4 linked regions of the Nothobranchius furzeri genome follow. The protein of the gene in region 1 interacts with the protein of each later gene in a biochemical or structural test. Links are inferred from orthologs where the notes say so. Each region holds a gene or a part of one and is shown in the gene's direction. Other genes may lie near its edges.

Region 1 (6,233 bases):
TAATCTAGTTAATTACTTTTCCCACTGCTGCAACGCCGTTACCGTTACTGGGGACGGAAGGTTGTGCGTTACTATGTGCTTGTCGAACGTTGAGCAACAGTGTGAGACTTTCTGACCGCCACACTTCAGCTGCAGCCAGGGCGAGAGGTGTTGGTAACGCACTTACAAACACGATGATGATTGGCCGGGTGGGCGGAGACCCTCAGTGTTCTCACTGTCTCAGTCGCAAACATAGCAGTGATGGGAATAACGCTGTTTAAAATAACCACGTTAATAAATAAAAATGTTTCTTTCTGTAACGAGCAAACTAATTAATTACCGTCTTCTTTTAAGAAAACAATCGTTTCTGTTACTGAAGGAAATGTATGCGTTAAGCAGTGCGGTGTGTTGAAGCGGTCATCAGCTGATCAGGAGCTAAAGAGGTAGATGTTTTTTTCATCCAAGCGCATCACGGCCCGTGAAGAACGAGGAAGTCGTGATGAATATCTACGGCTGCAGACCCCTGACAGATTTGTTGCTGCAGCAGTGAATCTGCAACGAATCTGCGGGTGTGCAGCCGTGCCCTAGCGTGACAGAGGGACGTCCCGAAGGTCCGCTCACCTGTTCACCGATCAGACCTCCTGACATGGACGTAATTTTCAATTTATAAGTGGGGGGGACGGGGTGTATCTTTACAGTATGCTCTAATGGGAAACAGGCTTCAACACAAACGGTTGTTTTCTGCTTGGTCCTAGAGCTCAACCAGTGTCAATTTAACATAGCGTAATATTGTTTTTGGATGGTAAAAAGTGCAGGGGTCAAAACTTAACTTTGGAAAAAGGGGGGGGGGGGCATGTCCCCCTTGTCCCCCCCCAAAATTACGTCCATGCCTCCTAATCTTCTACCTTCCTAGATCATCCAGCTGTAACCTGTTTCTGATCATGTCTTTAGTCCCGCTGTAACACTGATGCATCAGTCTCACACGTCATGGAGCTCAAGTGTTATTAGAACTACCTGTGTGTGTTTACCACCCAGCTTCAGCTCTTCTGTGGTTGGGTCTGACCCAAGTTAGTAAATGTAAGTCCTCCATCAGGCTTGTGCCTGTTCTAGTGTCATTTTAAAGGATTTTATTTATTTATTTAACCATTAATAGATGTGAAGCTGGAAAAATTAAAATGCTGTGCAAAATTGCATTCATTTCTGTAATTTAACTAGACTGAGAAACCATTTAAAGGCTCAGGAACCTTTACAGGTGTTTCTATTTGCAATTTTAAATTTTAGCTGATTGGGGTCTTGTTAAATATCACACAGTGACCTTTTAATAGTCTAGATAAGTGTAATGTTCCTGTTAGTATTTCCTCCTGTTAAGTGCTTATTTATTTAAATTATTCAGGTTTATAAAAAACATTTGGACATACATTTTATTATGTTCCAGTCATTAGTCATTTATATTTCACTAGTGTAGTAATTCTTGCATGCTTTAATGAAAAAAGTAACTAAGTAGTTATTTTTCTTGGTAATTAGTTACTTTCACAATCTTGTAACTCAGTTAGTAACTGAGTTACGTTTTTGACAAACTAATCAGTAACTATAACTAATTACTTTTTTAATGTAACGTTCCCAACACTGTTGACAATACGATGGATCCTCCTCACCAGAACCCCTGAATAGACCTTACCAGGGAGGCTCAGAAGTCTGATACCCCTGTAGTTGGAACCATGGATGTAGTTTTGGTGGGGGACATGGTCCCCTGCACTTTTAACTGTCCAAATACAATATTACGCTATAAATGGACTCTGGTTGAGCACTAGCATGAAGTGGAAAACAACCGCTTGTGTTGAAGCCTGTTTCCCATTAGAATGTCCATACGCTCATCTATTGGCTATGCTGATACTTGCTAACATGTGATTGGCCGTTCCTGCCACCTGTGTACTCAACAGTTCAGCATTTCTGACATTGCATAAAAGAGCCTCTAGGCTGTAGTTCTTTACATATTTTTGTATACTTAACTGTAAGGATACCTGGTTGACCCCGCCCCCCCCCCCCCCCCACACACACACACACACACACTTCTAAAGTCAAAACTACATCCATGGTTGGAACACACCCTGCGTTCCCCCTTTTACTGCCAATGCAGTGAAACTGACCCGATGTCCACGCGATACTATTATAAAAGCAGAAAGAAAAGAGCCAGGGTCCGGTTAAAGTCCGGACTAAAAAAACCACAGGCAGAGAGCTGAATGTCTGCAAACATCAATAAAATGAATCAATATAAGAAAATAGTAGATCAAAACAACTTTAGCACCATGGGTGACACATTACTCGTTGCTTCTAGATGTTTGGTTTGGCTTTTATGAAATGGTGACACAAATAGCGAAGCTAAAACGTCATAAAGTGGACTTTGTGTGACGACCCGTTTTTGTCGTCAGGGTGAGCCATCTTCTTTTCTCACCTCTCTGCTGGAGCTCTACGTCACAGGGAATTTCCAGTAGGGAAGGAAATCAAGTCACTTTATTCTGACAAACTTGTCACCTGTTGGATTTCATTTGGGCCTAATCTGCGTGGATTAAAAACTGGCCGTGGCTCCAGACCCTTAAAATGTTGTCTGGCTGAAGCGAGGCTGTAAGTGGGTCCGCGGGTTCGGCATGGCGAACAAATAACGAGTCAACTGGAGTGAAGCGGGACGAGTCACACTCATGGTCACACTTCATGCTACCGACTTCCACCTGATCGAGTAAACCAGGTAAAAGCCTGCTACCGACACACGAACCGCGTAAACCCGGACTCTGGCCCGTTTAGTCGGACTCGAGGTCCGAACTTCTCCCTAGACCGTTACGGTGTTCTACGGCTCTGACGGACTGCTTTGTTATGCTACTTACTTCCTCATCAGCCAGGTAACTTTGACGAGGTGTCGTGAAGGGATTACTTTTATAACTCACGATCCCCTAAAATAGATTAAGTGTTTTTCAGAACACATTCTTTGTCACCCCACGACAAATTCGGCCTGTTCATTGCACAAATTGTATGTTTGCTTCAATCTGTTTGTATTTTGAACTGAACTTTGCCCGCTCTTATTTGTGGTAACGTACAACAAAATGCTTAATAGAGGTTGAAAATGAGAAATTATGAAATTGTTAAACTTGCCGATTTTTAGGGCATGATTAGCCAATTGGTTTGGTTATAAAAATAACAATGTAAAATGTATTCCTAACATGAATTTGAAGTGTTTCTGACACGTTAGATTTTCAAATGGACCTTGGCATAACATTCTCCGCATAAGGAACCAAACCTACAGGGCTCGTTCCGGTGGGGCAGCGGGGACTGATAGCTTAGCTGCACCGACAGGACCGAAGGACACGCAGCAACTCTGTCAGCCAAGAGCTCCACTACTGTCACCGCAGCGGAGCCGCTGGCTGGTTGTAACGGCTTGGTTTTTACCGGACTCTATAAGCTTAAACAACAGGAGTCCGGTGGCGGTGATAAGCTGTTAGCTAGGAAGCTAACTGACACGCGCGTTCACAAGAGCCGCGGAGCGCGCGCGGCATTAACGAGCATCAGAAAGAAAGAATAAACTGCCAAAACAGTGCTGGAAAATACGTGTTTTCTTTTAGACACAGATTAACGCATATGTTTTCAATGTGCGAACTATTACAAACACCGTTTTATCAAATCGGAAATTGTTAAGACAACAATTTTCAGTTTACCTTTGAGACATTAAAAAAATAAAAAAAAAATAAATCGTGCGATAAAATAATGCTTTACATCACAGTTTCTAAATAAATGACTTTACACATATTTTAAATGCATTCGCCTGTAACTGTAATCAGTAATGAAATGTTTCTGCTCATCATTTAAGCAACTGGTGGAAAAAAAAGACCTTTAGGATCGTTGGCGTTTAAATGATTTATAGTAGCTGATTCTGCTTCCTGTTCCAGGTTTTGCTCAGTAGTTCATTACATTTAGATAACATTTGCCTAATAGTTGATCACCATTAATGATAAAATAATGAACATGAGTTTTGCAGCTCTTTAGCTTGCTGTGATGTTTAACGAAGTAGCAGGAAGTTTGGCAGCTTTTACATGGTTCAACTTGAACATGCGCTGCACTTTAGTTTATATTTATTTGAACAAAGACAATACATTAAAGCAATGTGACAGTTGATGGATTTGCAAACTCAGGTTTTTGTTGGGCTTTTAAAGTAAAAAAAAAAACAACTTATAAAAAGATGTTGTTAATGAACTATTTGCAGAAGTGCCATCTTTGTTATGTTTTAGTAAAGAAGGCTGGTTTGTGGTCCATGTATATTATAAAACTGTTGACTTGATATTGTTTTTTACTTTTGCAGACACAATGGCAGGAGACGACCCCTTCCTTCATCCATCCAACCAGGTAAACTCACCTGCAGCTCATTCCATTACCATGATGATCTAGGGCAGTGGTTCCCAACCTTTTTCCCAAGGGAGCCCTTTTTTACCAGTAAAATTTTTGACGACCCCCTCCCATTCTCTCTTCCAGTACAAACAGTATTAAGAAATGATCAAATTGTTCAAGCACATTTGAATATGCTTTGATTCAATAGATAACAGTAATAGTAGGCTCCAGTACAGAACAAAGTCATTAACAAAACCAAACAGAGCATAATGTGCTTGACAGTTTGTATTACTTTTCTGAACACATTGTTTCTTGTAAACACTGATAAATCAATCATTCATTTCAATAAACGTTTGACACATAAAAAATACACTGAGCAAAATGTACTTAAATGTGTATATTACTGTTTGTACTAGATTATTTACTGTAAAGGCTGTGATTAATCAACCAGTCGTATCTTTAATGAACTTTTGACACTTGAAAATAAAACAGTGAGCTGAGCAAAATGTTCTTAAAAGTGTGTTACTTTTTCTGTACTAATTATTTCCTGTCTTAATATCAGTAAACTTTTCACTCATGAAAAAAATGTGAGCAAAATGTAGGCTATAAACAAGTAATAAATTAAGTTTTAACCCCTTAAAGTGGAGAGGTCCTGGTGACCCACTGAGAGGCTTTGGCGCCCCCTTGTGGGGGTCGGGACCCCCAGGTTAGGAACCACTGGGTTCACTCTCTGTTACACTCTACACTCTCTGTGATACAAATCCTCCACCTTCATCCTGAAAACTTCAACTTTCATCTCAACATAGTCTGCAAGGAAATCTGGCTTCATAGTCCAACCTTCAGATGTTTGTGCGAGACTCAGAACAAACAAAGCTGTGAATAAAACAGTTTTTTTATTTTAATGCTAAGAAGTAGCTTGTTGCTGCAGCATCGTTAATTGTGCTGGGTTATGGAGATATTTTATATATGAATGCTTCTGCTAAACGTCTTCCATCGGTTGAAACTTTGTGATTTCTTTTGTAACTTTACTTGTTGCTTGCTGCTGCCTTTCTTGGCCAGGTCTCCCTTGAAATAGATTTTTAATCTCAATGTTTTTCTTTCTGGTTAAATTGAGGTTAAACAAAAACAGAAGATGAAATTTAGAATTCAATCTTTTCAGTTGCTAATGTATATATGTCAGAAGAACAGATTCATATAAACTATTTACTGTAGATTAACTTGACCGTTAGCAGATCCAGCAGATTTAAAATTACAAATGTGTGTGTGTGAGTCTGTAAGTAAATTTTATTTATATAGCACTTATCACAGACATAGAATCACAAAGTGCTTCATATAGATCAAAACAAAATAAAACCGTCTTAAAATCATAATGATCTCAAAACAAATAGATCAACATCAGAAAAAATAGTCATAAAATTATAAAGTTTCATAAAATGATTAAAGATTAAAAATTTGAGTTAAAAATAAGAAAATAAAAGGTTTAGGTATAAGCTGCTTTAAATAAGTGTCTTCAACTGATTTTTAAAGGTGTCCAGACTGTCAATGCCCATTAGGACAGTGGGAGGGATAAGGATAAAGGAAGATCATTCCAAAGTCGGGGTGCAACAGTCTGGAAGGACCGGATCACCTCGACTTTTATATCTGGTTTTTGGAACTTATAGAACAGGGGTTTTAAACTCAAATTCACACTGGGCCGAAATGAAAATCTGGGACGAAGTCGCGGGCCAAGCTTAATATTTTTTGAAAAAGTGATGGCAAATTTTCATTTTCTTTATTGACATATATGCAATTTAAAACCTTTAAAATTGGAAACAAACATATTTTTGCATTAACACTGAATGTGGAATAACCAAACTACACACAAGCAAGTAAATTTTAAATAA
Region 2 (5,581 bases), on another chromosome or scaffold:
TTTTCTGACTTGTCTCTTTCCTTTCAGCTGGTTCATGTCCTGAACATGATGTCGGCTAAAATCCTGACGTACAAGGTCGCAGAGGATGAAACTGTGGCCAGCCTGCAGCTGAGGATAGAAAAGGACACGAACATCCCTGCAGCCAATCAGGAGCTGCTGCTGGAGGCGGGGCTGGCGCTGGAGCCTCAGGCTCTGGCCACGCAGTGCGCCATCGATTACACAGTAAGGATATCGGACGTGCAAAGCATGTTTGTCATGATCACACGTTCCACTTCCGAATGAGAGCTGTAGCGTTTGTATCATCGGTCTGCAGGAGATAGATGGACGTCGTACAGATTTACCTCTGGTCTTCCTGTTCGACTGCTCCTCCTGCTCATACGAACCCCAGTTTGCTCCCCGGACTCTTCCTGAAAATATCCGCTTTGTCCGTAAGTACGAAGCCTGTGATGTCAGGAAAAGCCGTGCTCAGTAAATTTTATTTCATTTATTTTCGTGTCAGCTAGCATAAATGAAAAAAATGAGTGTAGAGGCTGAGAACTCCAAACTGACAGGTGTCATAATTAAATATAACAAATGAACTGACAGCTAGGAGACTTATTTTAACACTGTTAAAAGGCGTTCGTGCTAGATCTTTCTCTGAAAGAGTAGCAATGACCATCCTTTCTTTAAAGACGCTTCCGCAGCAGCTTTTCTCGGTTTTATTAACAAACATGGACAGTTTAGGCTGCCACCCCCGCGACCCGACCCCAGGTAAGCGGCTGAAAATGGATGAAGATTCAGACAAAAAGGCTTCATGTTGAGGTGAAGCGTGTCAACGTGAGACACACCCAGAGCACTTGATTAGTTATTGTGACCCATGTTGGCATTATCCAACAACCAATGGGTCAGCTCCTCCGGGTAAATCTTGAGGTGTTCCCTGGCCAGCCGAGAGACATGGTCCTTCCAGTGTGTCCTGGGTCTTCCTTTAGGTCTCCTTCCGGTTGGACGAGCCCGAAAAACCTCCCCAAGGAGGCGTCCAGGAGGCATCCTAACTAGATGCCTGAGCCACCTCAACTGGCTCCTCTCGGAGTGAAGGAGCAGTGGATTTACTCCGATCGCCTCCTGAATGACCGAGCTTCCCACCCTATCTCTAAGAGCCCAGCCACCCTGCAGAGAAAACTCGTTTTGGCTGCTTGCATCTGCGATCTCGTTCTGTCAGAACCCAAAGCTAGTGACCGTAGGTGTGGGTAGGAACAGAGATTGACCACTACTACTCCCGCATCACTGCACCAATCCGCTTACTGATCTTGCGCTCCATTTTTCCCTCACTCGTTAACAAGACCCCAAGATACTCCTCCACTTGAGGCAGGACCTCGTCCCTCGCCTGGAGAAGGCATTTGACCCTTTTCCAACTCAAGATCACATTCTGATGAAGCCAACAGGACCACATCATCTGCAAACAACACCTCGACTGCGCCTGGAAATCCTGTCCATAAAGGTCATGAACAGAATCAGTGACAAAGGGCAGCCTTGGCGGAGTCCAACTCTCACTGGAAACGAGCCCGGCTTACTGCCGGCAATGCTGACCAAGCTGTGACACCGGTCATACAGGGACCTAACAGCCCGTATCAGAGGGCCTGGTACCCCATACTCCCGGAGTGTCCCCCACAGGGCCCCCCGAGGGACGCGGTCAAACGCCTTCTCCAAATCCACAAAACACATGTAGACTGGTTAGGGTTAGGCCACCAATCCGCCTATCGATATCACGCTCCAGTTTTCCCTCACTCGTGAACAAGACCCCGGGCAGGACCTCATCCCTGACCCGGAGAAGGAATTCGACCCTTTTCCGAATCAAGACCATGGTCTCAGATTTAGAGGAGCTGATTCTCATCCCAGCTGCTTCACACTCTGCTGCGAACCGCTCCAGCGAAAGCTGAAGATCACGTTCTGATGAAGCCAACAGGACCACATCATCTGCAAAAAGCAGAGACCTGATCCTCAGGCCACCAAAACGGATCTCCACACCTTGGCTGCACCTAGAAATCCTGTCCATAAAGGTTATGAACAGAATCGGTGACAAAGGGCAGCCTTGGCGGAGTCCAACTCTCACTGGGAACGAGCCCAACTTACTGCCGGCAATGCAGACCAAGCTCTGACACCGGTCATACAGGGACCTAACAGCCCGTATCAGAGGGCCTGGTACCCCATACTCCCGGAGTACCCCCCACAGGGCCCCCCGAGGGACGCGGTCAAACGCCTTCTCCAAATCCACGAAACACATGTAGACTGGTTGGGCAAATTCCCACGCACCCTCCAGGATCCCCCTAAGGGTATAGAGCTGGTCCAGTGGTCCACGGCCAGGACGAAAACCACATTTTTCCTCCTGGATCTGAGGTTCAACAATCCGACGGACCCTCCGCTCCACAACATCTGAATAGACCTTACCAGTGAGCCTCAGGAGGGTGTTGTCTGGGTTAGGGTTAGAAGAATAAATCATTCCTTTCCCTACTCAAAGGTTGTGTTGATATTGAACAAAATAGTTTTGATAATGATTTCTTAATAACCAAGCAGCTCCGATTCTGTGTTATTTTTAGTTATAAACATACACCAATACCGTGTTTTTCTCTCTTTTTCTCATAGAAACCGACCCGAAGCATCTCCTCCCATACAGCAATCTGAGGAGGACATGCGGTCAGGCATGGCACACCATCCGCTCTCTAAAGGAAGACTGGCAAAGGCTGCAGCAGGGCCAGAAAGCTGCCCTGTATGACCTAGACACTACATTAGTACACACGTGCACTTGTTTGACAAAAATAAGAAAACAGAAACACCTCCTGCTTCTTTCAGCATGAGCCTGCTGAGACACAACTCGTCACTGTCCAAGCAGAAGAATGAGATGGTGTCCATGTACCAGAGACTCACGGCCAAGCAGGAGTTCTTCAGCACCAGCCTTCACGTCGACATGGACAAATATCAGGAGCAGACATCCACGGGGATAGGTGCACAACCGAAATATTTGTGACTTAAAAGACAAATTTAGTACGAATTCTGTGCCTCTGACTAATGTTTTTTATGTTTGAAGCATCAGAGAAACTTCTGGGTGTTTGGAGGGAAATGGAGCAAACTGCCATCAGTTGTAGTAAGGTAGGTTTTGAGTGTATTGAGTGTGTGTGTGTGTTTGTAAAGAGTTCCCTTTAAAAGACTTGGATGTGTGTGCGTGTGCGTGTGTGCGTGCGTGCGTGTGTGAAGGCCAAAGTGGTGGAACTGGAGGAGGAGATGATGAAGCTGCAGCCAGACATCGTTGATGTGCAGAGGCAGCCATGGAGGAGTGGAGAGACCTTGGAGACACTGTAAGTCTACATCATAATATAGATATAGATGTATAGAAATAGAAGTTAAAGAAGTAACTGCCGTTTGAGGTCACATTTCCTCCTTTTGATCCACAGTGAAGGCAAAGCCATGGAGCTGTTCCGCAATCTCAGAGAGAAACCCAGAGGTTTGGACTTTTTTTGGGGGGGGGGGGGGGGGGGGGGGCTCATCGTGGTGCCTTGCATGTGAGAACAAACCTCATCTGACATCATTTTGGTTTTCCTTCCTCAGAACAGAGATGTCCTGGAGACAGCCAGGAGTTGGTGCGTCTGGTATTACAGGCCGTGCAGTTCTACGAGAGGAAGCTGAAAGATTTCTACACACACCTCAGGTACTCCCTCACGAGCATGCCAGGTTTTATGCAAATCAGTTCTCTGATCCTTTTCAGCTTAGAGCAGCAGAGAAGCGTTCCTGATTAGTTACACTTTTGATTTTTTCCAGCTTACAGAGGCGAAAATGCTAAAGGAGGTAAAAAGTTGATAATTTTTTGTGTTGCAGTCATTTGAAAGGTTTTGAACTTTTTAAAATAAGTTTTGAATGTGAAGCGTTCCTTAAAGAGTGTAACAGCCTTTCACATTTAATTTTTATTAGTTGTTTTTTTATTTGACTGTTTGACCCCATCTAGCGGTGAACTACAGAGGGAACAATTGTTCTGGTTTTTGGTTCCGCCTGACCGTTTTTTGTGTTGCACTCGCGCTGAACTCACATGTTGCAGCTGCTCATTAATTAATTCCACTTGTAAGAGAAAGAAATTGCAATAAAGAGAAGACATAATCGAGGAAGGAGATAGAGAAGATGATACTAAGACTATAAAGGACTATTTAGACCCTTATGGATGTCTCGTCCCGGGAACTCCAAAAAGGGTGGGTACTCTGAACTGATATTTGGCCCATAAGCACAAACAACAGTCAGAACCTGTTCCCCGACCCGAAGGCGCAGGGAAGCTACCCTCTCATCCCCCGGGGTAAACCCCAACACACAGGCAGAGAGTCTTGGGGCTAACAAAAAGCCAGCCCCAGCCCTCCGCCTCTCACCCGGAGCAACTCCAGCAAAGTAGAGTGTCCAACCCCTCTCCAGGTCTCGGGTTCCAGAGCCAATGCTATGTGTCGAGGTGAGTCCGACTATATCTAGCCGGTACCGCTCACCCTCTGCCACAAGCTCCTGCTCCTTCCCCGCCAGCGAGGTGACGTTCCATGTCCCAAAAACCAGGTTTCTTGTCCGGGGATCAGACCGCCAAGGCTCCCGCCTTGGTCTGCCACCCGATCCACATTGCACCGGACCCTTCATGTTCCTCCTGCGGGTGTTGGGTCCACAGTTGGATGAGCCCATGTATCCGGTTCGGGCTGGGCCCGGCCGGGCCCCATGGGCGAAAGCCCGGCCACCAGGCGCTCGCTCACGGGCCCCAACCCCAGGCCTGGCTCCAGGGTGGGACCCCGGTAACCCTCCGGGACGGGTACTCAGACTCTTTGAATTTACTTCCATGAAAGATCCTCTGAACCGTTCTTTGTCTCACCCTTCACCTGAGACCCATTTGTCCTGGGAGACCCTACCAGGGGCACTAAGTGCCCCAGACAACATGGCTCCTAGGATCATTAGGGCACTCAAACCCCTCCACCACGATAAGGTGACAGTTTCCTTCTTTTCTTTTTTCTTTTCTTTACTTTCTTTCTTTTCTCTTTTCGTTTCTGTCTTTTCATTTTTCTTTTCTTTCTTTTCTTTTCTTTTTTCTTCTCTTTTCTCTTCTTTTTTCTTTATTTTCTCTTTTCTTTTCTTTTCTTGCTGCCATTTTAAGGCCATCCAATCCTGTTATATTTTTCAGCTGATCTGCAGCAGATTTTCCTATTCAGAGCTTGGTCACATCATAATTATTATGTGTGTGTGTGTGTGTGTGTGTGTGTGTGTGTGTGTGTGTGTGTGTGTGTGTGTGTGTGTGTGTGTCTTCTGCAGTAAGACAGCCGTGTGCCGTCGCCGTGTGATGGAGCTGCTGCCGAAGGTGGAGGGCGTGGTCCAGGAGATGGTGGAGAACGAACAAGTCCTGATGAGTTTGCAGGAGAGGCGGCAGAAAGAGTTGTGGAACCTGCTCAAAGTCGCCTGTGTGAGGAAAAGCAAAAAAGTGCTCCATCTTCAGACAGAACGCCTGTGAAACAGATAAGTGTGTTGAATAATTTTGTCTTTTCTAGAGCAAAGTTCGGAGCCCAGTGAGCGGCAGTCCTGATGGACTTCGAACCTCCTC
Region 3 (5,581 bases), on another chromosome or scaffold:
TGTGGACAATGAAAAGCCCATTTAAAGTAAATTAGTGTGGTGGCTCCTGGGGTGGCCAATCAGATTCCAAGGGTGGCATGTGCTACCCCAGGCCACTCCCTGGACACGCCCCTGGTGTACGGCGTGCTAAACACACGTGCAGCTTGCCCCGATGGCTGAGACCGGGTTGGGGGGTGGGGGGTGCAGCTGTGGTTGGGACAATTATTACATTAACTGATGGATTGTAAATAAATAGTTTATAAATAAGGTAGAAACAAGTTCCTCACGCTGATAACTAATAACTAATCTCTCTGAGGACACGGTGCTAGTGCACTCTCCTACAGCACCTTGAGATGACTCAGTAAATGTTATGCAAGATTTTGTGAACATCAATTTATTTGCATGTATTTGTTATAAATGCCACTGTATAATTCTTACTGTCAGTATTTGCAGGATATTGGTATTTGGGTCTGTACTGGTTAGACTTAAATGAGTTAAACCAAGGTCTATAGCCCTTGGGTCATAGACTATGAGCTATAAGTATATTGGTCTGTTTATACTGGGAATCAGGAGTTATTTTAGTGATCATCTTGTTTCTTATTTATTTTTGTCCTGATTGTGCCCTGAGCAATTTTATGGCTGAATAAAAACAAATAAAATCAACATAAATTGAAAAATCGTCCTAAATAATCGAGATCTCAATTTCAGTCACAATAATCGTGATTATTATTTTTGCCATAATCGAGCAGCCCTATCGTGTATTTCTCTATGCCGCCAGAAGCAGCTTTTTATTGACACAGCTACTTCCAGGATTGTGCGGATGCTGTGAGTCACATTCACTAGAGGAACAGGACCGAGTGCCCTTAAAAGGACGTGTTCCTCTCACGCAAGAACAGAAATAAAACCTTCCTGCAGCTGCTCTTTAGATTTCTGTACATGTATTCACAAATCACTTATTTTTTTCAACAATGTGTGCGTGTGTGTGTGTGTGTGTGTGTGTGTGTGTGTGTGTGTGTGTGTGCATGTGCGTACTTCGTGGAAGATCAAACAGGGAAGTTTCCTAGCTAGAAATTGTCAATATTGCAAAATCCTTTTAAAGTTCGTTTTTGCAAAGTTGAATGTGAAGGCATTGCAGGTCTGTGTGACTAAAGGGTAAATCAAAAGCTTGTTAGCTACCTAAAGGACTTCCAACAGCGCATCAGATCTGATGAGCTGGCCTGAGGCGCCTACTCAGGAAACGCTGTTTAGAACAAAGTATTTGTGATCATGTGACTTTGGTTTCAAATCATCACAAATACACATCAAACCACTCGTGGCCTTAAAGCATCAGGATAGTTTATCAGAAACCTGCCATGTCAGTCCTAAGCATATCTGCTGCCTGCTGGTGGATGAGCTACGTTAGCAAAGGCCCGTTTTATCCTGTATTACTGTTTTATGTCCATGGAATTGGGTAATAATTAAACCACCGTGTGGTTCCTGAGCGCCCCCAGGGGATTGGTTAAATGCATAGAACAAGTTCCACCCGTGGATGACGACTAATGGGACTTTAACGTTAATAAAATAAAACTGATTACTAAACAGTTGGTATGTTAACAATAGTCCACAAATAGATTTGGATTAAAAAACTACATTTATTTATAGAATTTAAAGTGCAGCGTGTAGGTCACCTTGCTTTATGGGCTCATTATCTCCTAAATCTCCTCCTGACAGATTCCAATAGAAAACTTTAAAGCAGCCGACGTGGAGTTCCAGGCCCGCTTCCGCCACGAGAACATTGCAGAGCTTTATGGTGCCATGTTCTGGGACCACAACGTCCACCTGTTCATGGAAGCAGGTGAAGGGGGATCGGTGTTGGAGAAGGTGGACAGCTGCGGACCCATGAGAGAGTTTGAGATCATCTGGGTGGCAAAGCAAGTCCTGCGGGGCCTGGAGTATCTGCACTCCCACAATGTCATCCATCACGACATCAAACGTAAGAGAAGGGAGGGAAGACATGTCTCCTGTTGAACTGTTGATGTGCAAACAGCCCAGCAGCATGTAATGTCCTTAGACTTCAAAGTCAAGTCATAGTTGAGTTCTTGCTAGCGGGAAATACATAAATCCATCATACAGGGTGTGTTACGGGAGGAAAAGTTGGCATGTTTGTTTCGGTCACACACAAAAACCGTTCTGTAAACAACAACATGAGATTCCTCTCACGGGCCTGTCTGCTTCTGAGCACTGAGGCCTGGTTGTCTGGAAATTCCAACTGGCTTTGATAGCACACACACACACACACACACACACACACACACACACACACACACACACACACACACACACACACACACACACACACACACACACACACACACACACACACACACACACACACACACACACCACACACACACACACACACACACACACACACACACAGCTTATCGTTTAACTTCCTGATGCATCATGTGACGTACCTGACATCACCTCCAGTTCAACTCGACACGTGCAAACGAACTGAACAAAGCTGTCTGCAGAGCCAAGTAAAGGCCCTAAGTACTGTCAAACGTCTGCTCGTCTCTACGTCTGAGTGTTCTCTTTACTCTCAGCCAGTAACATCGTCCTGATGTCAGACAAGGCGGTGCTGGTGGACTTCGGCCTGACGGTTCAGATGACAGAGGACATCTACATTCCTAGAGACCTCAGAGGAACAGAGGTGAGAAACCCCAGTCACGGTTTCACTTCTTGATGGTGTTGAGGGTTTGTTCACGTGCATGTGTTCGTGTGTTCAACAGCAGTCAGTAGTCTTGTTTCTGCACTTCCTTTGAGTTTTTTTGTTTTTTTTTTCAAAATAGTCTTAAGTGGCGGCTGGTGAAAGTCTTTTTGGATGGGGCAAAATTTAACAAGTGCTGTGCTGAAAACAGCATGCCAGCCCACATTTGCATGGCCTGTTGTGGGAAGGTGCATATGAATAATGAGGTTTATTAAATAAATATGCACTATTAACATCTTTCTTATCCATTTTCTTCCTTACAAAATGATGGTTTATGGGCAGATAAATTAAAAAAGTGATAGTTTATTAGAAAAAAAATAATCTTTTAAAAATGCGTTATTTCAAATCACATTCTTGTTTTTTTTAAACCAACAGCAAAATTCAAGCAGGCAGAAAAGAAAAAGAAAAAAAACTCACTAAACATAAGTCTCTAATGTGTTTAAATAAAACATGTCAAAATTGTAAATATTTAATCATTATTTCATAATTTTTCTAGTCAAAAACAAAAGGTTTTCGGGAGAAACACGGATTAGAAAAGTGTTCATGTTATGAATGTAATAAAAATAGCCTCATTGCTCATAATTCTCATAATTAAGTCTGAAATTTGCAGTTGTGAGGACTCTGATGCGCTATCTGCGTATCACCACCAGGTAATGCTAAGTCACCATTCTTTTGCGTCACACCAACAGACCAGTGAAAGCAAAACTGTTCCAAAAACATGCTTAATATTCACCAGTATTAGCAAATTTAGCATAAAAAACAAACAAAGCTAATTTCATGGAGTTAAAAGCATGAACTCAGTCTTACATTTGCTGGTTTAAGGTTGTAATAATCCATGTTATCGTAAAAATATTCCACCTTTACACATGCAGGAGAGTGTTCAAAAGTCTCTGATACCACATTCCATCATTTTCTGGTTCTTCATAATAAAAAAACTCCACGAAGTGTACTCAGCTGCTCAACAACAGCACAGGATGGTGAACTGTATAGAATTTCTGGTTTTGTCCTGACCTGAGCTTGTACTGCGCTGCCGGTCTTTTGCGTGTGTCGTCACAGGCGCTGTAAACCTGCGCCCAAAGGCTCTCCTATTCTTTGTATTGGAGGGGGGGTCCAGCGCACATGCACCAGTTAGCATGTGACTGTGGTAGTGATTGCTGCGCCCAAAAGTAACAGGAAATACGTCACAACACAATTCGATAGTGTTAAGTGTAAATAACATTTTTTATTTTAGTTTATTTTCATGGTTTGTTTTTTAATATGCATTTATATTTTTTTATTCCTATGTTCTTCTTCTTCCTCTGAGACTGGTGGGGTGGCACCCTATCGCCCCCTATGGATGAGCCACCACTGATCTAGTCAGCAGTATAAATGATTTGAGACCAGAGCTGTTGCAGCAGAGCAACCGTTCTCCGCTTCAGTCTGTGAGAAAGAGGAAGATTAATCCACCAGAGTGTTGATGTTTCTCTTCTACCACCTGTTGTCCTTGTTGTTTTCCAAGTGTACGCACATGCAAGTGCATGTGTGTGTGTGTGCACGTTGGGCTGCTGGTGGAAAGTCCCAGAGGAGACACGTTTGTATAGAAAAAGAGGTGGAGCCTGAGAAAACTCTGAGCTGCCGAGAGAAGAAATAATGTGGAAGATCAAAGTGGAATTTCCAGCTGAGAGAAGCTAAAGTGAGTTCCAAAGAAATGTTTACTGCTCAGCCTCAAGGGCCACCGGCTGACCTGCTCTCACATATTGGCTCTAAAGATTAGCTCGTTTGGTGCAGAAAGCCCCTTTGACAACACTTCCTGTTTGTCTTGTGTTTGATGCTCAGAATTTGACCAACTTCCACAAAATGTAGAACTACTTTCACTTCACACTTCTGCCTCCCGCTAGTCTTGCCTTTCTGAGCCAGTTACTATAGGTCAACTTGACAAAATTGTGAGTAAACTGAAAATGCCACACTACCACACTGATGTACTTCCTGCTGGGTTTTTTGAAGAGGGTATCAACATCTGTTGCCACAAGAGTTTTCCTCATAGCAAACAGCAGCCTGGAGTCGGGTGTTGTTCCAACACAGCTGACACATGTTACAGTAAATTTTCTGCTGAAGAAACCTTCCTCCTGCAATTTTGGACAGGCTTGGTGTACACAAAGTATTTTAATCTGGTTTTAAAACCCATCATAGTACAGGAACAGCACTATTAAAGGTCTATAATGACATTTTAATGGCTACCAATTTTTTGTCATCCTTATGCTCCTGGTTCTATCTGCTGCATTTGACACCATCGATCATAATATCGCAATTTCCAAGTTGACCAGTGGGTTGGAATCAGAGGTACTGATCTGGAGTGGTTCAAATCTTATCTGTCAGGTCGAAGCATGTCAGTTAATTTAAGTCATTTCTTGTCCTCTGCCTCTCCTGTAAGATGAGGAGTCCCTCAGGGATCCATCTTAGGTCCCCTGCTATTTTCCCTCATATCAGGGTATTCAAATCCGGGCCTGGAGGGCCAGTATCCAGCAGGTTTTAGTTTTAACCCTGTGTTTGAACACACCTGATTTCAGTCAAGTGTGCCAGCCGATGGCCGCCCCCTCCATGAGGCCACCACAGCTCAGTGAGTCATGGCGGGTGGCTGCTTATACTGAACCAGGATCCTCTGGAGGTTTCTTCCTGTTAAAAGGGAGTTTTCCTCTCCACTGGCGCTAAATGCTTGCTTAGTATGAGGATTGCTGTAAAGACTCTGACACTAGTCAGTGACTCGATGCAACCTGCTGGGTTCCTTATACAGGAACATTTTTACTGATTGGCTTAATGACCTGACCTGTATTGGAATGCTTACTTTGTGAAGTGCCTTGAGGCGACTCTTTT
Region 4 (6,022 bases), on another chromosome or scaffold:
TGTTACTTTGTTGGTCATAATTTTCTCTGTTGGTTTTATCTGTTTTATTCCATTCCTGTACAGCACGTTGGTGACATGACTCATGTCTGTAAGGTGCCCTGTAAGAAAGGCTGAGATGGGTTGAGCTATTTGAATTTGTGAAAATCATCTGGAACCCCCCCCCCCCCCCCCCCCCCCCCCGTGTAAATAAATATTGGTGAACCACAGTGGGGTCCTGACCCCAACTTTGGGAACCACTGCGACCATTGTGCACACACACTGATATTACAATCATTTTGTTGAATATTGTCTTGTGCAGTTTGAGTTTTAATCTTTTTTTACCATTCAAGGCTTGCAGGTCCCTGAGTCTACAGGAATCTGGTCAAAAATGATGGTAATACAGATGTAATACTAACATTTTCTTACTAAAATCAATTTCTGATATACAGATCTAATTTAATCCATGAAACCTGAAGTTTACTAAACTTTGTACCACTTGTACATGTCCATACATGGTCAAAATAAAATGAATGACAATCATGGTACTTTTAATGTCTCTCAAATGTCAAATTTAACTCCAAGCATGCTGCATCGCCAGATAATTGACCATGTTGGTTGGTCTTAAACTATTTATTCATCAAACATCTGCAACTTTACAGATTTGCAAGCAAACATTACTTAATTTTTAAGCAGGGAAGCAAGAAAATATTTTAGTGATAAATAATGCTAAATAAAAAGACAATTACATGAAGGAAAATGTGTTTTATAAAACCTTTTATTAGATTTTTGTTTCAAATGAGGATTTAATAAAATTAAGACAAAAGGTTTAACATTCCTAACAATGTACGCGTTTTATCTACAACATGAATAAATGATAAAGCAAATTTTATGTAACAATTAGATCAACAAACTTGTTTTGATGCATCCACAAGAGGGCAACACAAGCTCACACAAAACATCTGTTCTCATCGTGTCATTGATCTTTATATGAACTGTCTTCTGCAGATGACTTCAGGCTTGCACCTCCACTTGAAAATTATTTTCTTCTATTGAGCAAAGAGTCCCGCATGCAGGGAAGACACCAACTGTTGAACGTAATCCTCTCAGAGCTGCACGGCGGGATTATTAATGTAAAGTACATTTTAAAACTCATATTTAATCAAACTTCTATTTGACAGTTGCGCTGAACTCAGCTGTTCCTGCACAAGAGAGGCGAATTTTATTTAATTTCACATTATTTCACATATTGGTATCTTATAATGCTGACCCCCAAGATCGTAAAAAGGTGTAAAGTTTTCCGTTGACACAGTGTGTGTGTGTGTGTGTGTGTGTGTGTGTGTGTGTGTGTGTGTGTGTGTGTGTGTGTGTGTGTGTGTGTGTGTGTGTGTGTGTGTGTGTGTGTGCGTGCGTGTGTGTGTATAAAGGTCACTGACTCATTGCCAATATACAAAAATGGTGCTAAACTATAACAAACATTATAGTGAATGTGTAATTTTGATCATTATTTTCCCGACAGGACCATGATGGTTGAGTGCCTTGACAGCTGCAGGGCTTGTTTGTGCAGCGCCAGGGTGTTTTAGGGACTTTAAACACCAAGCTTGAGTTTCCGTTGCCCATTCCACACTTCAGTGCAAAGAGGAAAGTCCCAAATTGACCCAGGTAATCAGAACCTTGATGAGGGTGGAGCGAGATAAGATTATAGATGAGGGGGAAGTGCATTTGCAGGACTGTGGCCTCGCCATCATGTAGAAACACTGGCAGGCACAGTCACAAGAAGGGCATCAAAAGTACAGACTGATGAGTCATAGGGGCTGTTATTCTCTCTCAGCTGAGTTTGATACCGCAAAACCCTGCACTGTGAATATGGAAGTCCAATGTTAACAAAAACAGTCCATGTTGTTTGCAGATGAATAAACAAAGATAGGAAATGGTTGTCTTCACAAAAGAGAGTTCTCTTTAGATTAGAAGTGGAAGTAGAGGGATCAACATTCCAGATCAGAAACATGAAGGAAAACATACAAATTGGCAGATTTCAATAGCAGCGCAAGGATTCATGCAAAATTTCTAAAAGGAAGTTAGTTTTCAGTACCTGAAATGGCAGCTCCAGACTGGTATAAATACAGAATTATACATCCATGGGATTGTTTTGTTTATATGTGTCTGCAGTCTGTTTGAATTTTTTTTACAGCTTTAACTCACTTTCAACTGAGGAAACTACATTTTAGATGTGGAGCTCCAGCTGTTTTCTTGTTTTTCTCACCATTCTGCTCTGAACTGCCGATCTACCTGCCTTGACTTCTTGAGAAATTCAACGTTAGGTGCTTTGAACTTTAATGCAAACAGAGCAGGATCTATCAGAAAAGTCAGAAATGCAAAAAAATAAAATAAAATAAAAAATAATAATAATAATCCAAATAAAATAAACACGAATTCAGAGCACTCTTGAACTCCTTTCCTGCTTTACTTGGTCTAATTAAACGCTTCGATCAGACTGTTTCGGTTTAAAACGAAAGTAGAGCCGCTGGTGAGGTGTCAAACAGGCGCTCATGATCAGCAGATGAGCACTGGCGCAGCTCCACTGCGCCACGGTCATGTAGGTGCGCAGGGATACGCACAAGTTTTTTTCTGGATAGTTTTTTTTATCATTATTATCAGTGTTACAGATTTGCATGAACCTGTTATTTTGATAGCGTATTACCTAAATAACACCAGAGGCACAAACAGAATGGTTTGACTTGACAACACTTTTATTGTATTTTAGGATTTACGCACAATCTGTCCTCTTGGATTAGCCTGATTATTCCATCTGAACGTGGGCTGGTTGTCACCTGAAACGTCTCCAGTTGATGCCGAGGATCAGTACCATGAATGTTGATGACCACCAGTCGGTCGCCACTGCGCCGCTGGATTTGAGCACCACTGCGCGAGGGCGTGGGAGGTCTGGGACTCCGGACAGTAACATTTGCTCCCGGGACGCTCCGAGCGGCGGCTCCCCTGCACTTCCAGCGAGCACCGGGACCGACAGCACAGAAACCCGTGCGCCTCGCAAACGGCCAGCGGGCAGCGCGTCTTCCTTAAAGCTTCCCTTCAGGAAACGACCCTTTCCCTTCGAACCTGAGAGCCAGACGCCGTCACCGACTCCAGCAGCGAGCGGAATCCGCTCCTCTCCGGTGGAGGAGCGAGACTTGGGTTCCCTTGTTCGTCTGGGGAGAGCCGGGGGGGATCATGAGCGCAGGGTTGGAGTCGCACCGATGACCATCATCAGGAGGGTGGAGGAGGATGGACAGGGTCCAGATGGATACCCCTACTGCCTTTTCCCTATTTATGATTATGGTAAGAACTTATTTTTGTTCATAATCATGAAAAAAGGTGATTTAGTACAAAATTGCTCTTACTTTAAACATTTTTCGTTACAATTGTATTATTTTAAAGTAAAAGAACTGAGAATATTCCCCCTTAAAAGATCAGATTAAACTAAAATCCCTGGAAATGATCTTGGTTATCAGGTTTCTGTTTTCGATCTTCAGCATTATCAGCATCCATCTCTGTGATTTTACTGGCTTGTGGGTCACATCTCATGTGGTTGGAGAATCAGTGGCACCACACAGCAGCTTAAACTCAGAGAACATCCAGTCAGCTTATCTGCAGCCTTTCATGCTCACCCAGTAGCATATTTCTGGGTCAATGTTACACACTGCAGCACTTTGCTTTAAAAGTACTTGTTTACTCTTTTCTCTGCCTCCTGGCTTTCTTATTCTGACTTGTTTTTCCTGCTCAGGTCACTATCCGGTGTACTACATGCCCCACGTGGTCCCAGAGCCACATCATCCACCAGCCCTTCAACCTGAAAACCTGCTGGCTGAGATTTCTCTGGCTACGCATCAGGATGAAGATGGAGACACGTATGTTGATTCATTCAGAAAAGATCTGCTGTCACGTTTACACGAGAGGTGTTACTGCTAATATCCATCCAGATTTAAGTCACTGATGCTTGCAGAAAACTACACAATGCCACGATTCACCTTCATCAGTCAAGAATTTAAGAAACTGAAGAAGGAAACAGATCAGAGCTTTCATCACTTTAATGCACAGTCCTACTATTTCTAGCAGACTGAGAAGAATCGTAGATCTTGGCCAAAAGTCACAAATATGGTTGAGCTCAACACCTGACCCAAATGCAAATACTCATACCCACTGTAGTGGAAACTTCTATTATTACAAAAATGTATTTATAAGTTGTTTAAACTATAATTCATCACAAATATGTGGAAAATCATCTCAATTGACGAAACTGTGTGGAAATCGCACAAAAAATCCTTTAATAAAAATCTGTAACATTTTAGGAACTAAACTGATCCGTTGCTGTAGTGTTGAAACCTTGATATTTTCCATTTGAGGTGTTTTTCAGTCCAAGACTTTGTTCCTTTTGTTATTTTTCTCAGGCTTATAGCCAACTTCCTTTATTTAGTACCAGGTCTGGACTGCAGGCAGACCATTTTAGCACATGTAAGCCATGCTGCTCCAGCAAACTGCGGCACAAGTTGCATAAGCAAGAACCCACGCATGGTTTAGCATCTTTTTACACCTTTGCTGGTCCTGGGCGTAATCATTTTGCTGAAAGTACCCAAATTCTTTAGCAGATTGCTCATCCCATCATAGTTTTCCATGAAAGAGCTTGAGGACAAAAGTCACACCAAACAGCTGCATCATGTCATCCCAAGAAAGAAAATTATGAAAACCAAGTTGTTGTTTGAATGTTTTTATTGATTTGTGGCTATATTTGCCTTAGGTAATATTTTGTCTTAGGTAATATTAATGCACCAATAATACTAATAATATTCATAAAATCATAAAATAATATGGTAGTATTTCACTTTTTATACTTTTTTCCTCGTCCTACTCCGGAGCATCGCTAAAAACACAAAAAAACAAAGATTTACATGTGACAAGTTTAAATAGAGTGCTGTGCTGTTTGAATGTATAAACTGAACGCCAAGAGAAATCACGTCTTTTTCTGTGAATAAAATAAAAATGTCAGGCAGGAGCGTCTCAGGATCTGTCTGAAATCCGTCTCGGTGAGACAGATAATAGCAATCCAAAGTGCTTTTTATGTGTGATCTGACAATTGATCAACCGTTGCTTAAAAATTAAATACAGCTTAGCCGGTTAATTGCTGTGATCATAAAACACGTAAACGGCAGCACGCAGAAATCACAAGGCAACGTTTTACGTGATGTTTACTTGCTGCTATGAGTAATAAGACAGAAAAAGCCACGCCAAAATAAGTTTAGGAAGCCCACTAAGAATCGTAATAAAAGCATTTAAAATAAATACCAAACACAGTTGAGGAAACGTTGGTTTAACTACCTGATGTGAAGTGGTCGCTGCTTAAGTGAAAACCTTTACTCTCGGGATCCCACAGCTTCATCTTAGCCTGGAGGCTAGCGCGTTTCGTTGCTATGATCCAACGTTTGCAGCGTTCTGGATCTTGGGGAGTCCTGTAGAAGGCTCTTCCCTTATCTCGTCCGCGTCTGCTCCGGCATCCTGGGGCACAACAGGAATCTACCATATTTCCCGTTTGATTGAGTTTTCTGACAATAACAAATAGCCCAGCTGCGGGCTTCTGCCTGCCAAGATGGCGCCGTTTCGATTTGAACTGTTGCATGCCGGCAGAAGTGACGTCAACTCCCGGAGCTCTGTAGTCTCAACACAGAGCCTTCCAACATCATCAACAAAATATTTGATGTTGTGCAATCGGAGAGTAAAATGTTTGGCATTTCTTTCCAGTTTATTTATTTTTATCTCGGTGACTCACCTGGCTCTGACCAGTATCCCTCTCCCACTCCTTTAAAAATCTCCACTGCAGTCTCACTTCCTGTGAGGGAACCTACAGGACACACAGAGACATGCAAACATTTTCACACGTAGGGAGAATTTTGAGTCTTGTGTCGATGCTTTGGTCTGTGGGAGACTCTGGAGAAAGTCACGTGCATGGGGGGGTACATGCTAACTACACACAGAGGTCACCATGCAGACCGTCTTG

Evidence for each region.
Region 2: of the proteins of nfkb1 (region 1) and ikbkb, one has a biochemical effect on the other in vitro, tested with the Homo sapiens proteins (4 studies listed by BioGRID and IntAct). The link is inferred for Nothobranchius furzeri from reciprocal best matches to the Homo sapiens genes NFKB1 and IKBKB.
Region 3: the proteins of nfkb1 (region 1) and map3k8 form a complex in vitro, tested with the Homo sapiens proteins (2 studies listed by BioGRID and IntAct, with this or other methods). The link is inferred for Nothobranchius furzeri from reciprocal best matches to the Homo sapiens genes NFKB1 and MAP3K8.
Region 4: the proteins of nfkb1 (region 1) and bcl3 form a complex in vitro, tested with the Homo sapiens proteins (2 studies listed by BioGRID). The link is inferred for Nothobranchius furzeri from reciprocal best matches to the Homo sapiens genes NFKB1 and BCL3.

The regions. Positions count from the first base shown.
Region 1 is NC_091741.1:65,342,686-65,348,918, reverse strand, and holds the start of nfkb1 (nuclear factor NF-kappa-B p105 subunit), read left to right. Parts: upstream 1-2,456; 5' UTR 2,457-2,722; intron 2,723-2,730; exon of another isoform or gene 2,731-2,873; intron 2,874-4,324; 5' UTR 4,325-4,329; coding exon 4,330-4,368; intron 4,369-6,233.
Region 2 is NC_091757.1:55,646,818-55,652,398, reverse strand, and holds part of ikbkb (inhibitor of nuclear factor kappa-B kinase subunit beta), read left to right. Parts: intron 1-27; coding exon 28-222; intron 223-313; coding exon 314-428; intron 429-2,619; coding exon 2,620-2,743; intron 2,744-2,826; coding exon 2,827-2,978; intron 2,979-3,061; coding exon 3,062-3,123; intron 3,124-3,228; coding exon 3,229-3,329; intron 3,330-3,425; coding exon 3,426-3,475; intron 3,476-3,579; coding exon 3,580-3,679; intron 3,680-5,295; coding exon 5,296-5,443; intron 5,444-5,528; coding exon 5,529-5,581.
Region 3 is NC_091747.1:30,275,203-30,280,783, reverse strand, and holds part of map3k8 (mitogen-activated protein kinase kinase kinase 8), read left to right. Parts: intron 1-1,689; coding exon 1,690-1,951; intron 1,952-2,567; coding exon 2,568-2,674; intron 2,675-5,581.
Region 4 is NC_091745.1:75,995,222-76,001,243, forward strand, and holds the start of bcl3 (B-cell lymphoma 3 protein homolog), read left to right. Parts: upstream 1-2,492; 5' UTR 2,493-2,825; coding exon 2,826-3,312; intron 3,313-3,757; coding exon 3,758-3,881; intron 3,882-6,022. UniProt on the Homo sapiens protein: Contributes to the regulation of transcriptional activation of NF-kappa-B target genes. In the cytoplasm, inhibits the nuclear translocation of the NF-kappa-B p50 subunit.